Sus scrofa: one gene and its partners. The protein of the gene in region 3 interacts with the protein of the main gene of each other region in a pairwise test. Links are inferred from orthologs where the notes say so. Each region holds a gene or a part of one and is shown on either strand. Other genes may lie near its edges. The genes, in order: UBXN2A, FAM104A, VCP, RPL9, FAF2, UBXN4 and VAMP2.

The links.
Region 1: the proteins of VCP (region 3) and UBXN2A interact in binary tests that used the Homo sapiens proteins (3 or more experiments, as listed by UniProt). The link is inferred for Sus scrofa from reciprocal best matches to the Homo sapiens genes VCP and UBXN2A.
Region 2: the proteins of VCP (region 3) and FAM104A interact in binary tests that used the Homo sapiens proteins (3 or more experiments, as listed by UniProt). The link is inferred for Sus scrofa from reciprocal best matches to the Homo sapiens genes VCP and VCF1.
Region 4: the proteins of VCP (region 3) and RPL9 interact in binary tests that used the Homo sapiens proteins (3 or more experiments, as listed by UniProt). The two-hybrid records come from large-scale screens. The link is inferred for Sus scrofa from reciprocal best matches to the Homo sapiens genes VCP and RPL9.
Region 5: the proteins of VCP (region 3) and FAF2 interact in binary tests that used the Homo sapiens proteins (3 or more experiments, as listed by UniProt). The link is inferred for Sus scrofa from reciprocal best matches to the Homo sapiens genes VCP and FAF2.
Region 6: the proteins of VCP (region 3) and UBXN4 interact in binary tests that used the Homo sapiens proteins (3 or more experiments, as listed by UniProt). The link is inferred for Sus scrofa from reciprocal best matches to the Homo sapiens genes VCP and UBXN4.
Region 7: the proteins of VCP (region 3) and VAMP2 interact in binary tests that used the Homo sapiens proteins (3 or more experiments, as listed by UniProt). The link is inferred for Sus scrofa from reciprocal best matches to the Homo sapiens genes VCP and VAMP2.

Annotation. Positions count from the first base shown.
Region 1 is NC_010445.4:114,686,686-114,690,185, reverse strand, and holds part of UBXN2A (UBX domain-containing protein 2A), read left to right. Parts: intron 1-2,896; coding exon 2,897-3,034; intron 3,035-3,500. UniProt on the Homo sapiens protein: Acts to repress the ubiquitination and subsequent endoplasmic reticulum-associated degradation of CHRNA3 by the STUB1-VCP-UBXN2A complex in cortical neurons.
Region 2 is NC_010454.4:7,730,741-7,734,240, reverse strand, and holds part of FAM104A (protein FAM104A), read right to left. Parts: intron 1,142-3,500; coding exon 1,042-1,141; intron 1-1,041.
Region 3 is NC_010443.5:235,866,913-235,871,042, reverse strand, and holds the start of VCP (transitional endoplasmic reticulum ATPase), read left to right. Parts: upstream 1-1,330; 5' UTR 1,331-1,607; coding exon of another isoform or gene 1,608-1,624; intron 1,625-1,830; exon of another isoform or gene 1,831-2,197; intron 2,198-4,130. UniProt on the Homo sapiens protein: Necessary for the fragmentation of Golgi stacks during mitosis and for their reassembly after mitosis. Involved in the formation of the transitional endoplasmic reticulum (tER).
Region 4 is NC_010450.4:30,696,390-30,700,673, forward strand, and holds the start of RPL9 (60S ribosomal protein L9), read right to left. Parts: upstream 2,801-4,284; 5' UTR 2,778-2,800; exon of another isoform or gene 2,712-2,777; intron 2,329-2,711; 5' UTR 2,328-2,328; coding exon 2,282-2,327; intron 2,192-2,281; coding exon 2,076-2,191; intron 1,088-2,075; coding exon 992-1,087; intron 1-991. Other genes in the region: LIAS (lipoyl synthase, mitochondrial), read left to right, coding at 3,059-3,169, 4,055-4,227.
Region 5 is NC_010444.4:81,416,273-81,419,772, forward strand, and holds part of FAF2 (FAS-associated factor 2), read right to left. Parts: intron 2,632-3,500; coding exon 2,546-2,631; intron 2,451-2,545; coding exon 2,359-2,450; intron 1-2,358. UniProt on the Homo sapiens protein: Plays an important role in endoplasmic reticulum-associated degradation (ERAD) that mediates ubiquitin-dependent degradation of misfolded endoplasmic reticulum proteins.
Region 6 is NC_010457.5:16,203,712-16,207,999, forward strand, and holds the start of UBXN4 (UBX domain-containing protein 4), read right to left. Parts: upstream 2,801-4,288; 5' UTR 2,497-2,800; coding exon 2,415-2,496; exon of another isoform or gene 1,862-2,414; intron 1-1,861. UniProt on the Homo sapiens protein: Involved in endoplasmic reticulum-associated protein degradation (ERAD). Acts as a platform to recruit both UBQLN1 and VCP to the ER during ERAD.
Region 7 is NC_010454.4:53,379,444-53,383,527, reverse strand, and holds the start of VAMP2 (vesicle-associated membrane protein 2), read left to right. Parts: upstream 1-1,284; 5' UTR 1,285-1,425; coding exon 1,426-1,427; intron 1,428-1,935; coding exon 1,936-2,056; intron 2,057-2,514; coding exon 2,515-2,673; intron 2,674-2,753; coding exon 2,754-2,805; intron 2,806-3,416; coding exon 3,417-3,433; 3' UTR 3,434-4,084. UniProt on the Homo sapiens protein: Involved in the targeting and/or fusion of transport vesicles to their target membrane. Major SNARE protein of synaptic vesicles which mediates fusion of synaptic vesicles to release neurotransmitters.

The DNA of each region.
Region 1 (3,500 bases), on a different chromosome or scaffold from region 3:
CTTTATCTTGAACACAGGAATATATCTACATATTATTTTATCACAATGATGACCCATAATTTTTATATATATATTTAGTTGTTGACAATTTGATTATTTCTTGTTTCCCTCTATAAAAAGATATCTGTAGTTCCCATTGTGTCTCAGCAGCTTAAGGACCCAGTGTTGTCTCCATGAGGGTGGAGATTCAATCCCTGACCTCATTCAGCAGGTTAAGGAGCTAATGTTGCCACAGGTTGTGGTGTAGGCCTGTGGCTGCAGCTCCTATTTGGCGTTTTTGGTTTTGGGGGGGTTCTTTGGGGGTTTTTTTGTTTTTCGTCTTTTTGTTTTTTCTAGGGCTGCACCCACGGCATATGGAGGTTCCCAGGTTAGGGGTCTAATGGGAGCTATATCCACTGGGCTACATCAAAGCCACAGCAATGCGGAATCTGAGCCGTGTCTGCAACCTGTACCACAGCTCACAGCAACACCAGATCCTTAACCCACTGAGTGGGGCCAGGGGTCGAACGTGCATCCTCAAGTATACTAGTCAGGTTCGTAACCACTGAGCCACAATAGGAACTCCTTTAACAGTTCTTTTCTCCATTTTATTGCCGAACTGTGTTGTGTTGTATGGATATACCACATTTAGTTTACTCATTTATCAGCAGACAGACATTGGATTACTTCCACATCTTGGCTGTTACGAATAATGTTGCTATGAACATTTGTGTCCAGACATTTTTGTACGGACATATGTTTTCAGTTCTCTCAGTTCTAGAAATACAAGTGCTATTAACTGTTGTTAGTGTATGTTTGTTGGGGGAAGTTGGGGTTTTTTGTTTGTTTTCATTTTTGGCCGCCCAGAGGCATATGGAGTTCCTGAATCATGGATCAGATCCAAGCCACACTGCAGCTTCAGCTGTTGCACTGCAGCTGTGGCAACACTGGATCCTTAAACCTGCATTGTAGAGCTGCGGAGACTGCTGATCCTGTTGCCCCACAGTGGGAACTCCATTTTTTTGCTTATCTTTAAAATTGGGTTCTTTACCTTGTTGAGTTGTAAAAGTTTTATCTTCTTGGAGTTCCCATCATGGCTCAGTGGTTAATGAATCCAACTAGTATCCACGAGGATGCGGATTCAATCCCTGCCCTTGCTCAGTGGGTTAAGGATCCAGGATTGCCATGAGCTGTGGTGTAGGTCGCAGGTGCGGCGGATCCTGCTGTTGCTGTGGCTGTGGTGTGGGCCATCAGCTATAGCTCCAATTCGACCCCTAGCCTGGGAACCTCCATATGCCATGGGTGTGGACCTAAAAAGACAAAAGAAAAAGAGTTTTATTTTCTTAATGATGTCCTTTGAAGCACAAAAGGTTTTACTTTGATGAAGTCTGATTTATCCTTTTTTTTTCTTTTATTACTTTTGCCTGTGGTGTTCTATCTAAGAAATCATCACTTAATTCAGGGTGCTGAACACAACTCCTGTGTTTTCCTATATTGTTTTGAAAGTTTGACCAGTATCTCCAAGTATTCTTTCAAGATAGATTGCTAGAAAGAAAATTAATGAATAAAAGACATCAATGTTCTTTCAGCTATTGATGCTCATGTTCATGCTTCTGCTTTACTAAAAAGACATACTGAATTAAATTTAGGAGTTCCCGTGGTGGCGCAGTGGTTAACGAATCCGACTAGGACCGTGAGGTTGCGGGTTCAATCCCTGGCCTTGCTCAGTGGGTTAACAATCCGGCGTTGCCATGAGCTGTGGTATAGGTTGCAGACGCGGCTCGGATCCTGTGCTGCTGTGGCTCCGGCATAGGCTGGCGGCTGCAGCTCCGATTCAACCCCTAGCCTGGGAACCTCCATATGCCGCAGCAGCGGCCCAAGAAATGCAAAAAGACAAATAAATAAATAAAAATAAATAATTAAGTTTATATCCCATAGCACTGTCCTTAGCATGTGATTTCATGTATGACATCAATGTAATGGTACAAAGCACTTATTTTGGTCAATCCTTATTTCAGAAGAGTTGATAGTAGTCTATGCCTAACCAACTTTCAGTGTGTACATAAAACATAGGTCTGTATATATGTATATGTACAATGTATGTATAGATTTTTAATTGCTTTATGTTATTTTATTTTTATTTTTTGTCTTTTTAGGGACACACCTGAGGCATATGGAAGTTCTCAGGCTAGGGGTCCAAACAGAGCTATAGCTGCTGGCCTGTGCCACTGCCACAGTAATACCAGATTTGAGCAGTGTCTGTGATCTGCACTACAGCTCACAGCAACTCTGGATCCTCAACCCACTGAGCAATGCCAGGGATCAAACCTGTATCCTCATGGATATTAGTCAGATTCATTACCAGTGAGCCATAGTGAGAACTCTTGGTTTGCTTTAAAAACAAACAAAAAAAAGCAATAGGAGTTCCCGCTGTGGCGCAGCAGAAACGAATCTGACTAGGAACCATGAGGTTTTGGGTTCGATCTCCGGCCTTGCTCAGTGGGTTGAGGATCCGGTGTTGCTGTGAGCTGTGGTGTAGGTCTCAGACACGGCTCGGATCCCGAGTTGCTGTGGCTCTGGCTGGGCAGGCAGCTATAGCTCCAATCAGACCCCTAGCCAGGGAACCTCCCTATGCTGTGGAACAGACAGCAAGACAAAAAATAAAAAGAAGAAGGCAACAGTTTGCAAAGTACTGAATTGTTTGGACAAAATAATTATGTGGAATTTTGCTATATAAAGAGAGAAAATGTAGGAGACACACCTCAAAGTTTTTTTTAATTGGAGTGAGAATGGAATCATGAGGACTAGCACTGTTTTTTTTTACTGTGACTTTCAGTTCTTGTTGCATATAGGATGTTTTTCAGAGAAAGAAAAGGCTTACTAGGGGCTTTACCATTTTGTTTCCTTACTTTCCAAGGGAATTACCTTTAGAATTACAAGGAGTTTTTGATAAAGAGGAGGTGGATGTTAGAGTTGAAGATAAGAAAAATGAAGTGTGTATGTCAACGAAGCCTGTGTTCCAGCCCTTCTCAGGACAGGGTCACAGACTGGGAAGGTGAGTAGGCTCATGCTGTGAGCTTTCCATAAGCAGGGGCTTGACTCAGTAATATTCAGCCAGTCATTATTTTCCCATGTAGACCACATATATAGAATTTATCATTTCACTCGTTGGAAATGAGATTTTTCATGTTAACTTCTATGAAAATTTCCAAGTCACATTCATCTTAGTATAAATTAATACATGCTGGCACTAGACTAAAAAAACCATGGCAATTCTTTTGGTTTTTATCAGTTCAAAGGGGCCTGGCTTATTGAGGACTTTGGGCAAAACTGGGTGGATAAATCATTTTTTTCCCTTGCACCCACCACTTCAGCTTTGCTATTTATGTTACAGAGTGCATAGGCTAGCTTTTGAATATTGAGTTCCGTGTTAGAGTTACCAGTGCCTTCAACATTATGCTTTCTGATCTGTATCTGAATTTTGAGGAGATAAAAATAAAGAAATGCGTGATAAAATTAGT
Region 2 (3,500 bases), on a different chromosome or scaffold from region 3:
AGGGAGTTAACTTTGGATTTCTGGTAAAGACTTGATATAGGTCAAATCCTATTACTGAAAACTAAATAAAATACACAGTGTTTTGGTTGTGCAAGAATTATGACCTATCACCTATGGAATTCTGCTTTAAGTGATGAGGCCAGGGCTCAGGAATCCTTGCCATTGCGGAGTTTCTCTCTTAGGGCAACAGCGCTAAGGGTCAGGTCTTAGGCACATAATCTAACAGCATATCCTTCAATGTCAGCTGCCCTTCCCATTGCAGACCAATGTTCAGTGCACAGGAGGCAACCTGCAGCACCCAGGAAACCGGCGTTCAGGGGCTCTTCCCCCATGCCCTCTCCACTCCGCCTCCCGCACAGAACACATAATGCGAACAAAAACACAAAAGCATTCAGAATATATAATGTACATGTATATTGAATATGTATACATTATATATTCTGAATGCTTAGACAGTTTCTCTTAAAATCATGGAAAGCATACCTTTAAGAGACATAAAAGCAGCAAAATACACTTGTCTTTTAAAAAAAATCGACATCTTGAAGAATCATTTTATTTTTTTGGTCACACCCACAAGCACACAGAATTCTGGGACCAGGGATTGAAGCTCTGCCACAACAGTGACCATAGCCACAGAAGTGACAATGCTGGATCCTTAACTAGCTGGGCCACCAGAGAACTCCAAAACACACTTGGCTTTAGGGCAATTAATGGTTCATAAACTAAAAGAAAATCAGCCGGCTTCTGAAATGCCAAGTAGGGGTTCAAAGATGGGCTTTCAAAGGTCCATAAAACTTGTAACATACACATTTTGGAGTGTGTATGTATGAATATGTACAGACAGCCATTTAGCTGGGGAGAGGGTGTGTGGCTTTCTCAAAAAGGCCATGACTCCAAAAAAAAAAAAAAAAGGTTGAAAACACTGCAGTCAAGTGAGATCACTTTCCTTTATTCAAAGAAAAATTTTAATTACACAGAAGTAACTGAGTTATTTTAGTTCAAACAATGAAAACAGCAGAGACTCTTGGCCACACTTCCTACCTCTGTGTCCCAGGAATCGTGAAAGACAGCGTTTCTACTACTCCTTTTGGTCTGCGGGGGGAGGTGGTGGTCTTCCTCACTGCCATTCCTTCTCCTTTTCCTGAAATTAAATCACAGGGAGGACAAAAAAATACAACAGCTGGTCCCTTGGCCCCTTCAAACTGGAAAACCTGACAACAAATAAATTTGCACTCTTGCCTGAAAAAAAGATAAATCATCATGTGATAACCCAGTAGGTAAAAAAACTGGCAGGATGCCATCACTGGGCACAAAGAGCAAAAGTATAAAATAGCAGCAGTAAGACTGAGCTTATATGAGTCCAACTAATTTCTGAAAAGGAGCCTGACAATTTTAAATACCTACTGGGAATAAATAAGAGGAGGGAGACACTGATGACTAAGCTTTCAATCTAATTAAGGTTATCTTTTCCCACATTTCCTGAAATTACAATTCTAAGTTACCTAATTTTACTCCCGTCGATATGACAACATCTAAGGTGGGAGTGACTGCCTTTGCCTGTATCTGTATAAAAATGGTGCTACACAGGAATAAAATAGCATTAGAGGTCCATGGTAGCTTCTAATCTTTAATTTTCTTTCATCCCTAATTCTTCCCCAATTATCAGGTTGACACACAAGCCCTATGCCCTCTAACGTATTAAATGGCTTCTCTAGACAATCACTGGAAAGGCTGCTCTTGGACCCATTAACTTGATTATTTGGGCTACACCCCGGTATTATGATATAAATTATTTCTCCCTGTTGTTACTTTGAGATTTTAACACCAGCTGTTTAAAATGTTCAGGTTTAAAGAAAAATAGCACATCTTTCTCAATCAAGTGTTCTAAGATGTACAATAAAGACAAAGTTTGTTTTCCATGCAAGAACCATGTGTTGTCAGGCCTTCGAAATCCCAGTTAGAAAAGAGAAATAACTGAAAGGAGGTCAGTGAGATGGCATGGAACTGCGCTGTCCGATGGGGTAGCTGCTCATATATTGTTCACTTAAAGTGAAATCAAAGGAAATTCAATGAAATGTAAAATCCAGTTCTTTAATCACTCTGGCCACCTTTTCAATGCTCAGTGGCCACACGGAGCTAGTGGCAACTATACTGGACAGCAGAGATATAGACTGCTCCTGTCACTGCAGAAAATTCTATTAGACAGTGCTGGCTAGAGGCCAAATTTATACAAAGCAGCATAATCTATTATAATGAAAACTCTTCAAGGTTCAAGTATCTATAACTGGAGGGGGAAAGAGCGTTCTGGAAAGTACTGAATTTGAACATCTAGTATCTTCTATACAGTTTTATTTCTATGTGAGTAGCTAAAGCTTTGAGTTGAGGTCTGGACATTGGAGAAAACTTAAGTTAACAACCCCAAGCTCAATCCTGTGTACTCCACAACACTCAATACACCTAACTTTACTCATTAATGAGTATGGAGCCAGCTTAGACTTGGAATGGTCTAATGGGTGTGCGGAGGACCTGTAGAGCAGTAACCCACCGGCAGAGGGCTGCACCATTCACCCCATCCTAAGGCTCAGCTCAGCTGTAAAATAAGATCACCACTTCTGCTCCCTACTTTCCTCCCAGGAGATTAGATCTTATCTTGAAGTTCCTGGAGGTTAAAAAACTAGATGAATATCAGGTTTTAATAATCATTAAATGTATGTGCTAATGACATAGATTTGAACCAAGAAATTGTTACTTTCATTTTAATATGACCAGAGAACTTTCATTGGAATGTGCTGCAGTTCCAGAACAATGTCTGATGTAAAGCCAGTTGACACGAAAGAGAAACTCATCAAATGACAATATGTGTGTCCCCAAACTCCTCTTTTATCGATGTGCCAACAGATGACTGTGCTTTGGGCTGCTGCGTCTAACTAAATATATAAGCCTGTCCTCAGCTGTCCAATTTCCACATTTATAATGAGGGATGAAATATACCTTTCTAGTGACAAGACTATAACTGTCAAGACGATGGCCTGGTTTTCAAGACTTCGATTAAACTCTGGGACTGTCACATGAAATATCCCTGCCTAATAATCAGTTGATTTCTCAAGGTACCAGAACGATCTCTTTGGCCTCTTGGAAGTCCTCCCCTTTGGAGGAGGTACCGCATTAAGAATAAGCCCTAACCTGTTCTTCTTTCTCCTTTTTCTAGGCTCTTTGCAGACTTCATCCTTAAAACATTCTTCTATCAACAAATTGGTGGAGTTCCCGTCGTGGCGCAGTGGTTAACGAATCCGACTAGGAACCACGAGGTTGCGGGTTCGGTCCCTGCCCTTGCTCAGTGGGTTAACGATCTGGCGTTGCTGTGAGCTGTGGTGTAAGTTGCAGACGTGGCTCGGATCCCGTGTTGCTGTGGCTCTGGCGTAGGCCGGTGGCTACAGCTCCGATTCGACCCCTAGCCTGGGAACCTCCATATGCCGCGGGAGCGGCCCAAGAAATGGCAA
Region 3 (4,130 bases):
TGGGAAGGCTCACAGCTGGCTGATTCAGCTGAGTGCGGGTTGTCTAAGATGCCCTCTCCCAATATCATCTATCTTATGATCCTCAGGAGAAAGGGCTACAGGAATCCTTACTCAGGAATCAGTGCCTTTAGTCCTTCTTGCCAAAAAGGCGAGTACCCCTGCAAACCCAGGATCCTAGGTGAGGCGACAGAATGAGTGGAGTTAGGTAGGTCTGGAAGGTGATTCTTAGAAGGAAGGGACAAGCAGACCTCTGAGTCTGTTAGAATGACACCTCACCCCCTCCCTAATCCAAATTTGGGATTCGATGGTCTTAGTCAAATGTGTCTCTATGGTTAGAGGGTAAAGGATGAATTAAGTCACCATACCACCAAAGCTGCCTGTTGAATATAGTCAGGGCAAGCTGGCATTTTGGGTCCAAGGTCATCAAGTCTCAGCAATGTTTTTTTTTTTTTTTTCTTCTGCTTTAGGCTCTATTGAATCTGTTTGTGTTCTGCGGTTGCTATTTTTTTTTCCTTTTTTTTTTTTTTTTGGCCTCGCCCATGGTAGGCATGCGGAAGTTCCTGGTCCGGGGATCGAACCTCTGCCACTGCAGTGACCCAGGCCCCTGCAGTTATAACGTGGGTCATTTAACCTGCGGAGCCACAAGAGAACTACCTGTGGTTGTCTTTTGATTCCTCTTCGGAATTGAGTGTCCTTTGCATAGCTATTAATATTAATACCCAATGGTAAGAAGGAGCACATACCTCCAAGCCCTGCGGAACTATAAAGCTTGTGGGATTAGGATTACCAGAGGGTGTAATGACAACAGGGAAGAGTGGATTAAGAGCTGGAATGCTAGCCAAAGAGTCCGGAGTAGAGGTGGCTGGAGCCAGCGTTTTGAAGGAGCAAGGAGAGGGGTTAGAGTGCATACTCAGGTTTTGGAAGAAAATGGGTGTGTGGGTTATCACTACAAAAGGACTAGACTAATACAAGGGTTCAATCCATTGTGCCAGGTTCTTCTAGCCGGATAAACTCAGGAGCCAATGAACTGGAGCCAAGTGGGAGAGTCAGCCTCCCAGGGTTAAAGGCTCTCCTTTCGCCAGTCGATCTGGCCCCATTCCTTTCGTTGATTGGTCGAGAGTCCCAATCCGTCGAGGAAGCGTAGCGTTGCGGCCAATTGACGTGGCGTTACTAGGCGTGTTGCATCCCTGAGGCGGGAGCCGGGCCGCAAGCGAATTTCCTGATTGGCTCTGGTCCGCGGGTTGCTGGGGAGAGGAGGCACGGAGAGGCGGGCGGGAGTACCCAGGGCAGGCGCTGATTGGCTGAGTTGTGAGCACCTCTCCTTCCGATGATTCGGCTCTTCTCGCCTCAGTCTTCGCAAAGCGTCTGCAGCCGTCGTTTGAGTTGTCGCTGCCGCTGCCCCCTCGCGGATCAGGCGCTAGCGTCCCCCGCCCGCTTACCGCCCTGGTGCCTCTGGGAGGAAGCGAAAGGGAGGCCGTCTGCGGGTTTGTCGTTGCCGCTCACCCTCCGCCCGGGAGAGCCGAGCACCGGCCGAGTCGGTCGCCTGCCACCCTTCGTAGCCGTTACCTGCGGGCCGCCACAGCCGTTGGCCGGGAGAAGCGCGCGCCATGGCCTCCGGAGCTGAGTGAGTGTGTGCGCGCCCCCCGTCCTCCCGCTGCGAGTGCGCGCACTGGGAGATCCCCTGCGTTGGGTAGGCCCGGCCAGGCCTGCTTGTGGGCGCGTCTAGGAGGTGGAGACAGGGAAGGAGGGAGACGGAAGGAGAGGAAGGGGGCGAATGAGGAGCCGCGGACCCCGCTGGGCCCGGCCGCGCACCCGTGCGCCCCCTAGGCGGGGCTTGCTTTGGGCCTGGGTCGGGGCCTGGGCCGGATCGTGCTGTGTCATGCAGGCCCGGGGCGGCCTGATTGGCTCCTCTCGAACGGCTGTCCTGTCCTAGTGAGGTCTGAGGGCCCACGCTGCCGGCACGGAGCCCCGGGGCCTTGGGGTGTCCACCTGCGATCCAGTCTGCCACCCGTTGTAGGCCTTTGGTCCCCGGAGAGTGCAGGCCACTTGGGCCTGACGCCCTAACTGGGCCCGGTGGGCGTGGACTTTGAGCCACGTGAAGGCCTTAGGAGCCGGGAGACCGAGACCGAGGAGGAGGCCGGAGCAGTGCAAGGCCGGGCGAGCTCAGGGGAGCTCCCGACGGCCCTTTTGGATCCGGGTGGGTCTGGCCCGTGGTTGGCATCCTCTACGACCTGAGTAGTGAGAGGCTGTTACCGAGAGGGCGGGCCCTGCCTTTCCCATCTGGCCTTCTTCATACTTTATTATTCCTGTTTTATTCATATGGGAAGGCTATAGTCAGTTTTCAATAATGTTAGGAAGTGGGGTTCATTAGGTTCTTGCTAAAATTCGAATCTCAGTTCGTATTTTGTGGGCCTTTCTAGATTTCAGCCTTTTGTGGTGTGAAGGTTAGAGTTGCCCTAACTTCTCAAACACACACAGCCTTTTACCTATGTGGAGAAATCCTGAGCTCTCTATTCCTCAGGAAAGCATCAGATAAAACCTGGCTACCTCTGCCCATTTTAGAATCAAGAGCTTTAGATACTGGGGGAGTTGGGGTGGGGGAGGAGAACACTGCCATCCTATGGAAACTCTTCTATGCAAAGCACCTTCCAGACTTGAAAGTTCAGTTTTTTGAGGTGTTCCTTTTTTTCAAGTTTCTGAACCGAGGTGAAGTATTTATTACTGAGGCGCCTATTGAAAAGGGCTGCTTATTAATACTTAAAGTACCCTCTTTAGTTTCCAGTACTAAAAGTCGAAAATTCTTAGAACCTGGCATCATAGACAGTTTATCTCTAGGTCATCTTGATGACTCTTAACTGAACTCTGTCCACGCCCCCTGTGGCCCACTGGGGTCCTGGAAGAGGGCCTTGACTCATGCAGGAAACCAGAGGAAGGTCCCCAAAGAGCCTCCAGGACTGTTGTCAGCCCATGATCAAGCTGACTTCCCTTGTTTAGAGGTTACCTCTTTCGATCTCAGGGGACAGATGTAGAATTAAAGGTCTTTACTTTAAGGGCAGAACATATCAGTCATCTCCAGTGCTGGGCTCAGGAGTGGTAGGCAGATTGGAGGTTTTCCTAGAATACAGCTTTGGGGTTAGAATACAAACTCTGATGACCAGAGGCAACTGGTATTTTATTTCTCTAACCCTAATCCTATACATCCAACTGGAAGATGGACAGCCCTTAGAGGGTATTTTGATGCATGGAGGAGAGGGAGAATGGATGGATTTAAATTGCCCTCGACTCTCACATTGACCATGTTTGCTCTCCAGGGTGTTTGTTGATAAGCATTGGAAGAGTATGCCTACTCTGCAGCATTGTGCCTAACACTTTTGCGCTGGGGAGGCAAGTTTAAGCTGAGGAAATGCCACTTTTGGAAACTAGTTTAAAGCAAATGAGTAAAGGGGCAACCTATGTGAGAAGGTCAGCAGAAAGGTTACAATTTTTTTTTAGGTGAATGGGATTTGTATTTCTTTTGAGTGTATCAAGACCAAAAGATGTAAATGCCTCATAATTTCTTACCTGGTATTTTAAAGCATAGGCATCTTTTTTTTCTTGCAATATTTCCAATAGAAATACTGTTTTGTCTTGTTTTGTTGACTGAAAATCCCCAGATCCTAGAACAGTGCCTGACATGTACATATACTTGTTAATTTTTTGAGTGGAATGGTCTCTTTTTTATTTATTATTTCTTTACATCATCCATTGGCTCGCCTCCTTTTGGTTAATGCGCAAGTTTTCCTGAGCCCTACTAAGAAAAGGTAGCTCTTCAAAAGGAGAGCCCTCTGTGACTCGTTATGAAGGTTGGAGATGAGGCAAGTGAGAAATAGGTGTCAGGAGAGTGATCTTAGCTTCTAGGAAATGATAAAAACCATTTAGACAAATTTTATTTATTTATTTTGGCTGTGCTTTTGGCATGTGGACAGGCCAGGGTTCAAACCTGTGCCATAGCAGTGACCCAGACCACTGCAGTGACAACACCAGATCCTTAACCCTCTGTGCTATAAGGGAACTCCTGTTTAGACAATGTAAACTGAGTTCAGACTTAGGCAACCTTCATTTGGGTGAGAGGATTTTGATTTGCCCCATGT
Region 4 (4,284 bases), on a different chromosome or scaffold from region 3:
TCCCATCATTGTCATTTTTTTAAACTATCACCCACACCAAAGCTTCACAGCAATTTTATTTATTTTTTGCTTTTTATGGCTGCACCTGCCAGTCTACACCACAGCCACAGCAACGCCAGATCCTTAACCCACTGAGCAAGGCCAGGGATAGAACCCACATCCTCATGGACACTAGTTCGGTCTGTAACTGCTGAATCACAAAGGGAACTCCCTCAGAACAATTTTAAATACATTTGTTTCTGTCTCCTCAATGGACTGCAAAGCTCCTAAGGAAGCAGATATTTTACTACCTCCTTTGCCCGTGGTGAACAATGCTAGCCTCCTATTAAAGTATAACTCTAAAGCCCTTCATCTTGGGCATTAGGCTAACATACTGAATTACTATGGTATGCCAGAGGGCCAGAATTGAGAATATCAAGACACCACCGCCGCCCCCCGCAAACAAAGACTGGAAACACAAGGGGAGACATGGCCTGAAAGGCTTATAATGGAGTTGCGTACAGGGTGCCGCTATCAGATTGCGCTCTAGAAAGGCTGAAACAGAAACACTCCAGCAAATATCCAGAATCAACTTTACCTTAAAGACTGAAAGCTCAGAAATAAGACTTAATCTTTCCCTAATTCCCACAAGATACCCTGGTGGTGAGAGGCATAAGACAAGAAACCAACCATTCTATGTGTTAACATTTTCTATTAAAAACCCCCCTGAAATTGTGAATGTTATCTTTCGGGTAAAACAAATATATATATAATCAGCGTATTATCAAGACCATCTGGTCTAGACTTATGTATCTCCCTTTATCATAAGACCCAGGAATACCTAACACATTTGCCAAGATCACCTTTTCCAAAATACTACAGCCGCTAAGTTATATGCAAGTATAAGTTACTCGCACAAAGTATTTTCTACAATAGACATTTATGTTGCATACATAAAGATAGCTGACAAACCTCCCCCTTCTAAGACAAGAAGTCTGATTAATCTGCTTACCAGTGTAACACCCTTGATCATATTCTGTACATGACTACAGATGGTGCGAACAGTTGCCAGTTCCTTTCTATTTCCCCACCATTTGTCAACCCGGAGCTGTAACAGAACAAAAACTTCAGAAAATTCTTTCCAGTATTAAGTAGCCTTGAAATAAGGTCCATTTATCCACAGTAATTACTCTAGATTCTAGTATTTGTCCTAATTACAAAAAAAAAAAGCAACCACAAAGCCCTCAGCAATTAACGGTTTTTGTTACTATACATTAGAAGTATACACTTTCACAGAGGAACAACCCAGAAAGTTTTGTACAAGTTGCATCAAACTTCACTTCTGGAAAGCTAAAATACCAGGTTCAAAAGAACTCTGCTGCACCACTATGATCCTTACAAAACAATCAAGAAAAATAAACCCAATTTCTAACAGTATTAAGGCCTGCTATTTAATAAATATTACCAGTACTGAGGTTTATAACCCAGTTTACTTTGGTTTTCCAATTTCACTAAAGCACCGACAACAAAAAAAAAAACTAGTTACAATTTTGGACACTAAATTATAAGATAAAACATTGAACCTCAATTCCATAATTTCTCAAAAGTTTTTATTTCTTCTATTATGGTTGACTTACAACATTCCATCAACTTCTGCTTTAAAGTCACTCATTCATACATATAAATATTCATTCCTTTTCTCACATTATCCTCCTTCATGTTCCATCACAAGTGACTGTAGTTCCCTATGCTGTACAGCAGGATCTCATTGCTTATCCACTCCAAATGCAATGTTTGCATCTACTAACCCCAAACTCCCAGTCCATCCCACTCCCTCCGCCTAGACTAGAACAGACTAGAACCAATAGTCTGTTCCCCAAGTCCAAGAGTTTCTTTTCTGTAGGTAAATTCTTTGGTGCTGTTAGACTCCAGAGAAAAAATTATCCATCAAATGGTATGTCTTTCTCTAACGTACCTCACTTGGTATGAGTCTCTATTCCATCCATGTTGCTGCTCAATTCTGTAGTTTTTAAAACAACTTGATATTCTTAAATTACAACTTTCCAAACAAACTGAGGTGATTAAACAAAACTCACCCTCTTCTTTTTCTTTCCAAGGAGACTGAGTTCTACATTGATGTGGTTGAAGTCCCTCCTCAGAGTGCCTCTGGGGCCCTTCACAATGACTGTGCGTCCTTTTAGTGTGATGTCGACTATGAAAGAAACATACTCGTGAGGCATCGAAACAAATTAGAACGCACGCAGTAAAAACATATGAAAAAAGCAAGCACCAAGTCTCCTACCATTTTCTGGAATGTCGACAGTCTGATTGCTGAGAATGGTCTTCATTCTGAAACACAAACACTTGGGTAAGAAGGTCGCACAGGATTTGTTTTGGGCCGAACTACCTTGCACAGAACTCCACTCCTACCAGAGACCGGCAGGCAAAAATCTCGGGGAGGATACAGAGGACTAATCCCGGAAACGGCCCCAGCTGCGCCTTGGCTTGGAAGGAGCAGCTCCTAAACAGTTATTAAAAACCCAGCGGGCGAACTCCCGGTCAGCGCAGCTCTGGGAAGTCCTATCAAGTCGGCGCCATCCCGGCAAGGCTGAAGGGCGGCAGTAGGCCTAAAAGCCCAATACAAGGCTCGAACCCCATCGCCACCAGACTCATATGACGCTCGCCGCGCAGGGAGACAAACAAGACACGGTTTCCGAGGGCCACACCCGCACCTCTGGCTTTCCCAAAGCCGATGCCTTCAGATTCCCAAGGCCCACCGAATACAGAATCCACCTTACCTCGCAGTAGATGCGGCAAAGAGAGAGCGTCTTTCGTCATCACGCTTTTGTAGTACGTAAGGGTCCTGCGTATGGCGTCATAAGCGCGCGACACCACGAGGCTAAAGCAGCCAATCGTAGAGCAGCGCAGGTTCCACCGGGTCAGTGTTGGCTCAGGTTGTTTGTCATAAGTGGAGCGACGGTGTGTCCTTCTCTTTTCCCGGGAATTAGTGATTGTTCCTCCCTGCCAGAAAAAAAAAGTGCAGGATGGCTCTACGCTGCCGGGGCGCCGTCCGCACTGTATGCCCCCGGGTGAGCGGCGGGGCGAAAAGGGAGCGGGCGTGGGGTGGGGGTTCCCATCCCTGAAAGTGCCCGATAATGCCAGCGCTTACCCGGCGTTTACTTCTAGCCAGGTACTGTTCTAAACATTTTTCGTATAGCGTCTCATTTAATTCTGACATGGTCATGAAGTTAAGACCTGATACTGGTTTTTTTGTAAGTCTGTGGCCCGCGCTCTGAGACCTTTTTTCCTGCTATCAATGCAATGATTTGTACTCTTGTATTTATTGGAGCACTATAGAAGCGCTGCAATGAAACTCCAAATTACTACTTGGTGTTGGTGTCTCCTGTGTACTAGACACCACTTTGGGCGATTAAAACCCAAGTCTGTGCTCCAGGCTTGAGCGAGAGACCTGGGCAAGTACAGTAGCTATCGTGCAGCATCCTAATAGGCACTCTTTTTTTTTTTTTTTTTTTTTTTTAATAGTTGAAGGTTCTTTTGCTTTAACAGTACTACCTCTTGAATTTTATGGTGTTTTGTCTGTCTTGTACATGTATGTGTTCAAATCTAGAAACCGATGGCTTCTTATGGTCAACAAATACATGAGTGACTTCCTTGTTCACACACAGTATAACCAAGAAAATTAAAACATTAGGTTTAGTTTCCCTTCTTCCACTTCTCTGAAATCAGCTGAGAACTACCTCCGTGTTTTAGCAGGTATTCTTATTCAAGCCCAAAGCAGAGAGATTAATTTCAAATTTCATTTAAACATACTTGACTCAAGTCAGGAATAGAAAATTCAAAGCTGTAGCTCCCATTCTCCTTTGGGTTTGGTTTGTTCTCCTTGGGTCATCTTTAATTTCAGATTCTGAGCTCCTTACATTGAGCTCGTAAATAGATTAACATAATTTCTGAATCAGTTCTGTGGCTTTACCCATCCTTTTAGGTATTAAACGAGTTTAATACTAAGTTATTCCAAAGCCCCCTAAATAAATGTCACAATGAACTCTTTCTGTAGGTATTTGGAAGATATTTATGCAGTCCAGTCAGAGCAATAAGTTCCTTGCCAGATAAAAAAAAGGAATTTTTACAGAATGGACCAGACCTTCAAGATTTTCTATCTGGTGATCTTGCAGACAAGAGCACCTGGGATGACTATAAAGGAAACCTAAAACGCCAGAAAGGAGAAAGGTAATTGAAATTTTGAGGTAATTTTAATGTCCTATTCCTTCATTGTGCATTATTTTC
Region 5 (3,500 bases), on a different chromosome or scaffold from region 3:
ACCCACTGCACCACAAGAAAACGCCCCTCCTAGTTTCTTAATCTTTGTGTTGTTATACACTTGTGACCCTATTTCCCAGGTAATCTGATTAAAGTAGGATAGGCTTTTCTGGTTGAGTGTAGCTGTCATGATGATGCTGGGGCAGGCCACAGAGTTTAAGAACAATATCTGTTTGATGAAAGGAAAAGGACCTACAAAGACTCCGGCTACTGCTTAGTATAATTTTTCCCCGTGTCAGGGGTCAAGCCCACAAGTCTCAGTCTTATGCTACTGATGATGATCTCTACCATCATCTTCTGTCTTTTCTTCATCTTTTTTCTTTTCTTCTTATCCAATCCCTTCCTTACTTCTTTTTCCTAAGTCCCACCCACCCTCCCCAATAAGAAGGGGTTAGCTTTTCTGTTACAGAGGAGTTTTAAAAATTGGTCTTCCAAATAACAAAGATTTTACCATAACAGAGTTTTGCCTATGTTTTTTATAACAGTTTGAAAGAAGAGATTTTTAAGCTTCTATAAAAATCTATAAAAGGAGTTCCCGTTGTGGCACAGTGGAAACAAACCCAACCAGTATCCACAACGATGCAGATTAAATCCCTGGCCTCGCTCAGTGGGTTGGGGATCTGGCACTGCCATGAGCCATGGTGTAGGCTGCAGACACCACTTGGATCTGGTGTTGCTATGGCTGTGGCATAGGCCAGCAGCTGCAGCTCCGATATGACCCCTAGACCGGGAACTTCCATATGCCGCAGGTGTGGCCCTAAAAAAGGGCAAAAAACAAAAAACAAAACATAAAAAAAAAACCCACTATCAAAACCTCCTTCTATCCACCACCGCTCACTCCCAAAAATCATATTAGAATGGCAAAACATACTGCAGGATCTTATCTGATGTTTAAAAACCAACTAGGAGAGTTCTGTGCTGGCTCAGTGGTGAAGCATCCGGTGTTGCCACTACTGAGGCAGAGGTTCAAACCCTGGCCCAGGAACTTTCACATGCCATGGGGTCGGTCAAAAAAAAAAAAAGTCAATTAAAAAAACAATTAAGAGTAAAGATTCAGATTCTAGGATGTAGACAAAACATTTGCTGCATCTTTAGTCCTCAGCATCTAGCGCAATGCCTGATATGCTAGTATAGACTCAAAAAGTTGCTGAGGAGTTCATGCCATGGCACAGTGGGTTAAGAATCCGACTGCAGGGAGTTCCTGTTGAGGCACAGAGGAAATAATCCGACCAAGAACCATGAGGTTTCAGGTTTGGTCCCTGGCCTCATTCAGCAGGTTAAGGATCCGGCATTGCCGTAAGCTATGGTTTAGTTCGAAGATGCAGCTCGGATCCTGGGTTGCTGTGGCTGTGGTGCAGGCTGGCAGCTACAGCTCTGATTTGACCCCTAGCCTGGGAACTTCCATATGCTGCAGGTGGGGATATATATAAAAAAAGAAGTTGCTGCAAAGCAAGTACATTTTCCTTCACTGAATGCCTTTATGTCTTATACTGACTTCTAAAGATATTCACCTCCAGTTAAAAGTTAAAGTCAGCAAAGATCTGAGGTTTCTGAATCCCTATCAGCACTCAACAACAAACTCATTGTCCAAGAAGCTCTGTTAAAATTGCTGATAGAGTTTCCGCTGTGATGCAATGGGATGAGTGGTGTCTTGGGAGTGCTGGGACACAGGTTTGATCTCTGGCCCGGCACCAAAGGGTTAAGGATCTGGTGATGCTGCAGCTGCAGCTTAGGTTGTAACTGTGGCCTGGATCTGATCCCTGGCCCAGGAACTCCATATGCTACGGGGCGGCCAAAAATGGGAAAAAAAAAATGCTGATGAAAGAATAAACTCTTTAGTAAAAAGCCTATTAGGAGTAAAGGCAAGTTGGAATTCCCTGGTGGCTCAGCAGGTTAAGGATACAGCATTATCACTGCTGTGGTGTGACCACAATGGGTTAAGGATCTGGTGTTGTCACAGCTGCAGCTTAGGTTGTGACTATGGCTTGGATCTAATCTCTGGCCCAGGAACTTCCCAATGCTGTGAGCAGAGCCAAGAACAACCGCCACCACCACAAATACCAACCAAACAGGCTGTGGCAATAGTTACCTGTAATGGATGGGCTAGAGTTTGACATGTCTGAGCTTGCTCCAAACTTGCGAATAACTGTGTGATAAAATCGTGGGCCAGTGACTTACACTGCCTGATACTGTTTCCTAAACCATAACGTGGAGATAATACGATCCCCGTCTCCCAGGATTGCTGAGAGGATCTGTAGCAACTCTGCCACAGAATATTCATGCAATAGATGGCATGTCTTTCCAGATTACTCCAAAGATAGCCCAAACATCTCAATGGGGCAAAAGAAACACGACTTACCCCTGTATCCCTCAGGTTTGTTTGTGGAGCATGCCCAGAAGAGCATTCTCGTGTTTATTAGTGAAATAACTTCAGGTGCACATAGTGTGTTGCTGTGGAAAGGGATGAAAGGGACATGAGAAGAACTTGCTTACTACAAACTATCAGCAGATAAGATGAGAAAAGAGAAAAAAAAAATTCCACCTACCGACAGAACTCATCAGAGTCCTGGTGATCATCTCCATGAAGATAAACCAAAAGAAAGCGGAGTTCCCGTTTGGCATCATTAAGTGCCTGTGAGAAAAAGAAGATTACTAATTATTATAACTGACTTGAACTTTTAATTAGGTTAAGGGTCCTAATGGATACAGCTACGTATTTAGGAAGAAAAGAAATGAAGGAAAAAGCTAAGCAAGGAAACCAGAAAATTGCCAGGCTCCTACCTCACACCCTTGGTATTTCTCCCCCTTTAAAGTTCATGCTAACAAGCTTCGATGAAAAGGTTTTAGTATTGTTAAGATTTAAATTATATCAGGCACATAAAAGTAGACAGGCTGACAGAAAAAGTCTCCCCTGGAAAAAAAAAAAAAAATCACAGAAAAGTCAGCTCTTCCCATAGCCTAAAGGAAGATAAAAACAGGATACTCTGACCTGAAAAGGCAGATGAGAATTTTGCCACTTTCTGGCTATAATATCTTAGTAAAAAAAAACAAACAAAAAAACCTGCAAAGACAAGCCTGATCCCTGGCTACGTACCAAGTAGGGATGAGGGACTGACGCATCCTAAAGAGCGTGGGGTTTAAAAGATCTTCAAAGACAAGGCTAGTGTCCAAGATTCCTGTGTATGATTTTACATTTGCCAAATCCCAAGCTCATTACAAATCAATTAAGATTTCCTGACTGACCAATGGTGGTCTGCTCTCAGGATCACAGAAAGAGGGGTATGAGAGGTGCCCACCTCATTCACATATGTATCTCTAGCACTGAGCACAACATGTGGCATACAGTATGTGCTTAATGCTTGTTCAGTGGGGTGGGAGCAGCCAGTGAGAAAAAGCTGATATGGGAGAATGACAGCAGGAAGCAAAAGTAAGCAATTTTCTCCTTCTCCAGATAGACCCAGGAATCCTGGAGGCTGCAGAACAGAACGATCTTACACCTGG
Region 6 (4,288 bases), on a different chromosome or scaffold from region 3:
CCAAGGGTCTTTCTGCAAATGTTCAACAGTCATTAAAGCAATTGGGAATTAGTCATTATTAACTCATATATATATGTATATATATATACACACACACACACACACAAAACCCCAAAGACCTATAACTATATTTCTATTGTAATAATTAGGACTACTATTTACAAATGGGTGTCCAAATTTCCACTAATTAAATCTACTATTTCTTCTTTCAAATTAACTGGTTAACCTGGAGTTCCCATGGCTCAGGGGAAACAAATCTGACTAGCATCCATGAGGATGCAGGTTCAATCCCTGGCCTTGGTCAGTGGGTTAAGGATCCGGCATTGCCGTGAGCTGTGGTGTAGGTCGAAGGTGCGGATCAGACCTGACGCTGCTGTGGTGTAGGCCAGCAGCTACAGTTCCAATTCGACCCCTAGCCTGGGAACTTCCATATGCCACGGTGCAGCCCTAAAAAAAAGTAAAAACAAACAAACAAACAAAACTGGTTAACCCAAAAGTGCCTCCTAGGAACATTTGGACACCATCAAATGTGTTTTTCAGAGTTCCCATCTCCCTCAGTGGAAACTAATCTGACAAGCATCCATGAGGACACAGGTTTGATCCTTGGCCTTGCTCAGTGCATTAAGGATCTGGTGTTGCTGTGAGCTGTGGGGTAGTTTGCAGATGCAGCTCGGATCTGCAGTTGCTGTGGCTATGGTGTAGGCCAGCAGCTGTAGCTTAGATTTGACCCCTAGCCTGGGAACCTCCATATGCTTCGGGTGCAGCCCCAAAATAGACCCCCCAAAAAAGCGTTTTTCACTTAAAAATATGACTACTATAATCCTAGGTTTCCTGATTTGTACACTAATTTCATTAACTACCTAGAGTCTACAACTGTTCGGTTTTTTCTTTCAGAAACAAAAAAGATACTCTTTTTTTGAAGTTGCTAAAAAATAAAATCTGTCAAAAGATATAAATTCTTTTTCTGACCCTCTTACATATCACTTTACTGTGAATATATTTCCTTGTCTATAAAATAGGTATAATCTTGTTCCACCAACTGCAAGGATCAATTGAGATTATATGGGAAAACACAACATAAAATGTCACAAAACGTAACTGTTCTCTTAAAGCATACTAAGTATCATTTAATTTTCCTTTTCCTATTTATCCACTTAATTCCTTATACGTTTATGACATTTATGTGAAATACAACACTAACACAGGATAATAGTGTAAGTTCCCTGGTGGACTAGAGGGTAAGGATCTGGCATTGTCACACTGTGGTCTGGCAGGGGTTTGACCCCTGGCCCTGGAACTTTCACATGCCACAAGCGCCGCCAAAAACAAACAAAAACAGCATAAGAGAATCTAAACTACCCAAGTTCTTCTAATTAATAGCACTGCACTAAAATTTTAGCAGAATTTAAAACAATCTGAAATTCCAACTTTAATGTTAAGTGAAACTCACGTTTCAGCAACTTCGTCTTCACTGTAGTGCATAAAGCTATAGGGCTATTATCTATTTTCCCAAGTCATGAGTTAATAATGACCAAACTGCTATTAAACACAAATAGTTGAAATAATACACCTCGAATTAACGGTAGTCACAAACACTGACTTGGTTTACATAATGAGGATCAACAAAACCACAGAAGCATCTGTTTACTGAAAAATAGAAGATTTCAGTAATAAATCCCAGAGCAACTTAGGATAAATGAGTCAGTACACCTGAAACTGCAGCTATGAAACTAGGAAGACAACAAAGATAGCCAAAGCCTCTGTATCTACTTCTTCTAAACAAATGGTTAAAATAAGAAAAAGATTAGATTCTCCACCCCACCCCCCATAACATTGTTTAAAAAGTCAAACCTATAGAGACCTGAAAAGTTTGCGTCTCAGGAACGTGACATCAGGTGGTTTCTCTTTGTGGATTACCTATGACACAGCTTTCTTCCTGGCAGTCCACAACTAGTTACAAACTGCCTGCCTGGCTAATGGCCTGTCTCTCCCCGCACCTCAACACTAATGACAGCGGCTTTAAAGTTTCCCGAAGCGGGTCCTCGGAGACAGAAATCTCCAACGGGGGCGGTGGGGGTCTGTGAGCAACAACTCCGCAGGCGGCCCGGAGTAAGGCTCGGCGGGGAGCTGCGGGGCAGGGCGGGCGAGGGCCTGCTCCGCTCTTCCCCTCGCCCCGCACAGAGAGGTGACGGCGGGGCTAGGCGCGCTCTCCGGACAAGGCCGGGAGAAGCCGGTGGTGGGGGCAAAGCCCGGTGAGCTCCAAACGGACGGGGGAGGCGCTGAGAAGCCAGTCAGCACCGACAGGCCGGGCCCCTCAGCACGAGGACGAAAGGCAGGGGGCTTCTGGGGTTGGACGTAGGCCGGGGCGGGGTGGGGAATGACCCGGCCACATCTCGGGCCCTCGCCTCTTTCACCTGCCACGAACACCACGAAGACCGCGCCGCTCCTCTTGGCTGATGCGATGGCGGCCGGAATGGCGCCCTGAAACCACAGCATCGTTGCCCTCGGGCCCTATCGCTCGTTTGGTGTGTTGTCGCCGCGGTCCCGGAGCTGACCCCGCCCTCTCCGTCCTCGGGCCCCGCGGCCTCCGCAGCCGCAGCTGGTCCGCCCCCCGCCTCCGGCCCCGCACAGGCGCGCAAGCCGGTCAGAGGCCCTCTGGGACGCGCGCAAGCGCGCAGACGAGGAGCGCCCCGCGACACGTGACACCACACGTCGCCGTCGTCTAGGCACCCCGGTGACTTGTCTTGTTGGCAAGTCGGTGGGTGCGCTATCCTACAAGGCCGCAGGCCCGGCAGTCCCGGAAGTGGACGGAGGTAGTAGGAAGGATGACTAGTAGCTAAGGCGCGTCGGCGGCGCCTTCCTAAGGCATGATGGGAATTGTAGGCTTCTTAGGCTAGGTCCCTTTAACTCTGTGGAAAATATAACTGGTTTCTCGCGCACCGCTAAAGGGGCGGTAGTGAGTCACTTCACAATCTATAAAGAGGAGAAGTAGTGCTTCTCGCCGAGAGATGCCATTCTTGGCTTTATTGAGACCTTGAAAGTGGAGGAAATCGTCCCCGCCCTGAGTGGAACCCTGCCTTTGGGACGATGTAATTCTGTATTACTATTAGTGACCATTGTGAGATAGCGTGGGTGTCTCTGGGTAAGGGACTAAGTGGGCTTTGTGGGGATTCACGACAAGGCTTTGATTTCTTTTGATCTTAATTTATCAGCTCAACCTTGAAGAAAAGAACCTTTTGTAATACCATACAGAGTGTGGTACAGGGGAGGTATTGGTTCGATGCAGACCTTGAGTAATTTCCTAGTCATTGGTTAGAGATCGTTTCAAACCTCATAACACTTAGCTATGCTGTTGCCACAGTTGCTTTCTACAGTAAGTTGAAGCCAGAGAATAGATAATGATTTATTTTCCAGCTACTTTTCATTGTACTACAAAAGAAGAATTTTGTTTATGACAATATGTGATAATGTATTATAATCAAGATATGGCACTTTCTGGTAGGTTGTCATTAAAATGAAAACCGATCCATATTTAATACTTTCATGAAAGTATATGGTCTCTAATAACTATTGGCTAAAGGCATGTATGGTTTATTTACAGTTGCATACGCTCTTATATTGTACATTCTACATGACTTAAATTTCTTCTCCAGCAGTACAACCATTTGACAATCTTTGCAGGGCTAAGGAGGGGCTACATCCGAAAATACCCATTTTCTACAAATATTTAACCTAAAAATAGCTAACATTCCAATTTTTATTTACTTTTTTCCAACCAGGCCTCACATATAGTGTTATTATAAACAAACATAATGCTGATTATAGACAGTAATCTTACAGATAGTTGCTGCTTATATAGGACACTGTTGCTCAGGAAGAGTTAGAGTTGATCTTTAACATCAACTTTAAATGGATTCCTTAAAATTCGATTAATGTATATACCCTTGCAGTGGAACGATTAATTATTCCTAGTGTTAGAATTAAATATTAGGAGAGTTCCTGCTGTGGCTCAGCAGTAACAAACCTGACTAGTATCCATGAGGGTGTGGATTTGATCCCTGGGGCTCACTCAGTGAGTTAAGGATCCCATGTTGTCTTGAGCTGTGATGTAGGTCCCAGACATGGCTCGGATCCCATGTTGCTGTGGCTGTGGTGTAGGCCAGCAGCTACAGCTCTGATTCAACTCCTAGCCTGGAAACTTCCATATGCTATGGGTGGGGCCCTAAAAAGACAAAAAAAAAAAAAAAAAAAAAAAAAAAAAAGAGAGAGAGAGAAGAATCATTCATAG
Region 7 (4,084 bases), on a different chromosome or scaffold from region 3:
CTCCCCCACACAGCTGGGAAATGACACCTCTGGTGACAGAGCCTGGCCCAGGCTTCTGCTGGGAGGGGGTGGGGTGCTGCATGGGGGAGGTTGTCACACCCGGAGGCCCTGGGAGGCCTGGGTGGGGGAGGGAGGAAGCCAGCTCCTGTTTGTCTCAGAGACCAAGGCCACCAGCCCCCTCTGCCCACTTCCAGGGTTGCAGTGAGCACCCTCGCTCCAGGGCCACTAGCCACCCCCCCCCCAAGGTACCACCTTCTTTACTCTTTAGGCTGATCTGACCTACCCCACAGGACAGGCAGCTCACCTGTTCTCAGCCTGTCCTCTCTGAGGGGACCAGTCCTGCTGAGAATGAGCAGAGGGGGTGTGTGAACTGCTGGGTCTGTTTGGAGGATCTAAACAGAGACAAGTCAGGGATGGAAGGGGCCGGGGATAATCTCCTACCATGTCCCGGATCAAGCCATTTAACAAATACCCCTGTAGTGTCTAGTATGTAATCTATTTGGGGTCCAGAGACAGGCAAAGGGCTATCCAAGGTCACTCCCAGGAGGCAGGGACTGCCTTTGCCTCCTTACTGTCCTGCCCCCCCAGGGAAAAAACAAAACGTAAAAGCTAAAGTTCTGTCCTTTCGCCTGGGGTCAGAGGCTGAGCCCTCCCGCTGCAGGGTAGCTGATCCAACTCTGGGTCAGAGCCAGGTTTGGGCCAGTCTGCAGGCGCACCTGAAGCAGCGCCACGGGGCAGCCTCTTGCCTTCCTCCTAGGCCCCTAAGCTTGCCTCTTGTCGGTCAGGCCCAGGCTGCCAAGGACCCCTGGTCTGAACCCCAGCTGTGAGGAGAGAGTTCCTTGTCCCAGACCTCCTTTGAGATCTCCACCTGCGGGCAAGCTTTGGGGACCAGCTGCCACCACTCCACCTCAGCCGCGGGGTCTCGCCTGTCTGCATCGCCCCGGAACCTGCACGTGACCCTTCTGATTTCCCATCTCCCGCCCGTATCTGAAATGCCGAAGACCGGTCAACAGGCGTTGGGACCGTGGGGGCGGGCTGAGACCTGGGTCGGGGTGGGGTGCGGACGGGTCTCACGGAGGAGGTGTTTGGGGCCGAGGGGTGCCATCAGGGCCGGGCCATGGGTGTGGGTAGGCCGCGGCCCCCAGGCTCGGGCCGTGGAGGGAGAGGCCGGGGGCCCCGCCTCGCGGGCCCCGCCGCGGGCGGGCTGCGCTCCCCGCGCCCCGCCCCCACGCCCCGCCCCCGCGGCCCGGCTGCCGCCGAGTGGCCCGCGGCGCCCCGCCCCCGCCCGCAGTGCCCGGATGTGGGTGACGTGCGGCCGCCATCTTCCCGTCCCGGGCAGCCAGCGCCAGTCGGAGCCAGCGCGAGCCGCCGCCGCCGCCACCGCCACCCCTGCTGCTGCCAAGTCCTCCGCCCGCTGCCCCCGCCATGTGAGTCGGCCGCCTGCGCCCGCCCCGGCTGCCCGCGCCGGCCGCCGCCCCTGCGTCCGAGCCTGGGAAGGGCTCGGGGTCCAGCCCGCGCCCCCCGCGCGCCCGGAGGCCAGGCCGGCGCCCGTGACGGCGCGCGGGCAGCCGGAGAGCCCCGGGTCCCCGGCCGGCCGCGCGGGCGCTGGCGCCGGAGGGAGCAGACGCAGGGTCCGCCCGCCCCGCCCCTGTCATCGCTGCCGCCTTTCATTGCGGGTCCCCCCGACCGTGGCTGTGAGGTCGCCCTCATTTGACAGGCGGGGAAACTGAGGCCCGGAGGGGGGAGGGGGCCTCCCTCAAGGTCACGCGGCCGCTTGCCCGCGGGGCCGGGCGAAGGCCATGGCTCCCTTCGGGTGGCTCTCCTCCCGAGAAGGAGGAAGGGGGGCACGGATGGATGGACAGACGGATGGGCGGAGCCCTCGCTGCGGGGCCGAGGGCTCCAGGGCCTGGATCTTAATCCGTCGGTGCCCCTCAGGTCGGCAACCGCTGCGACCGCACCCCCCGCCGCCCCAGCTGGGGAGGGAGGCCCCCCCGCGCCCCCTCCAAACCTCACCAGTAACAGGAGACTGCAGCAGACCCAGGCCCAGGTGGATGAGGTGAGTTGTGGGGGGGGCAGAGGCAGTGGGAACGACCCTGAGGATGGCAAAGCGGTCTGGGGGTCCATCGTGGGTTGAGGGTGATGGCAGTTCACGTTTTCGCGTTCGGAGACAAAAACATACCAAGCCGCGTTCCTGACGTCGTGTAATTGGGAGGGCCGTGGGGTGTTAGCCTTGCTGGCCTGCGCCGTTTCACCCTGGGCGGGTGTGCTCTCGTGACCCGCAGGCTGCTTGAGGCTCGGTAAATAGAGGGTGCTGCTGTGATATGAGATGTCTGGCCACCAGCATGCCTCTGACGTGTGCTCCTTGCATGTCCCCAGGTGTGCTGGGCATGCTCCGCATATGTTGTTGCATGTCAGCCAGACAGCCCTAGGGTGCATGTCTCGTACGTGGGCTCCTGGCTGAGGAGAGCCCTTTGAGATGGGTCTCCCCCCCCCATCCCCGCGCCCTTCCCGCAGGTGGTGGACATTATGAGGGTGAACGTGGACAAGGTCCTGGAGCGGGACCAGAAGCTGTCGGAACTGGACGACCGCGCCGACGCACTCCAGGCGGGGGCCTCCCAGTTTGAAACAAGTGCAGCCAAGCTCAAGCGCAAATATTGGTGGAAAAACCTCAAGGTAAGGGTGGAGGCCGGAGGAGTGGTGGGTGGCCGGGAGTGTCCCCGCCTGTCTCCCTGACCGGCCCTTCTCGCCCCCAGATGATGATCATCTTGGGAGTGATTTGCGCCATCATCCTCATCATCATCATTGGTGAGTCGGGCGGGAGTGGCCGGGCCCCTTTGTTGGAGAGGTTTCCCCCCTGACGTCTGGGTTTTGAAGGTCATTAACCTCGTTTTTACTATTCAGCAAAGAGCACACAGAGCTGCCAATAGCAGTTCTGATTCATCTAGCACCCCAAACCTCAATGTTGTTGAGCTTGTACTTTGCCTGGTTCTGGGCAATTTCTGGTAAGATTTTTGGAAACCGGAAAGCCGGTGGAGATCTCCACTGCTCCCTTGAGGACCCTTTGGGTTTGTCCAGTATGGGAACCCTGGAATTGGGGTGTGGGGGAGCAGCGAAGACTCAGGGGCTTGAGAAATGGCTAGGAAGCCAACCACCCTATTGGTTGAGAGCTGTGGTCTCAGAGGCTCCGAGGATTCGGGGTCTGTGGCCCCAAAGCCATACCGTGACGTTGAGGAGACCTTGAAGCTGACCTGTGCAGCTTCCTTGCTTTACAGATGGAGGATCTGAGACCAGGAGGGGAAGGGACGGTCAGCCAGCTGGGAGGTGGGGAAGGTGGGAGCAGGGCCGGGCCTGACACGCTGCTTTCTCTCTTTCTCTTTCTTTCTCCCCTCTTCTTCCTTCTCTTTCCCTCTCTGCAGTTTACTTCAGCTCTTAAACCCCTGAGGAGCCTGCCCTGCCCAGAGAAGGGCCTCTCCCCCCCATCCCCAGCCGCTCCTCCACCTCTCAGCCATATCTTCCAGCCCCCTCCTCCCCCGGGATCCGCGTGTGTGTGTCGTGTGTGTGCCCCCTTGTAAATAGCCAGCTGTTATTTATACATATATAATATTATATATATTTGGTCTGTTTGTAGTTTTATTACTAGAAGATTTTTCCGGTTGTCCTTAACACCCCTTCCTGAGGTTCCCATCGCCTCCTTTTGCCCCTCCTCTCCTCTCCTTTCCCTCTCTTCCTCACCGGCCCCAACTCCCTTCATTTGCATCTGCTATGCAATAGTCCCTCTTCCTCCCCTCCTTCCCTTGGATTTAGCTGATCCTTCCTCCCGCCCTGGTCTTCCCCATACACCCCCTCACCCCACCCCACCCCCCGACAAAAAAAAAAAAAAGAAAAGCAGCTGTCCAGGACTCCCTAGGTGCATCTTCTTTGCATCATTGGGAGGCTCTGAGACTGGTCCCTTTTGGTCCTAAGAATCCCAAGGTCTTCTGGGAGCTTCCAGCATGTTAATTAGCATCATTTGCATACTGACATCCCTTTTGGTTTCCTTTTTTTCTCCATCAGGCTTCTGTTCATTCTTTCAACTTGTGTTTCT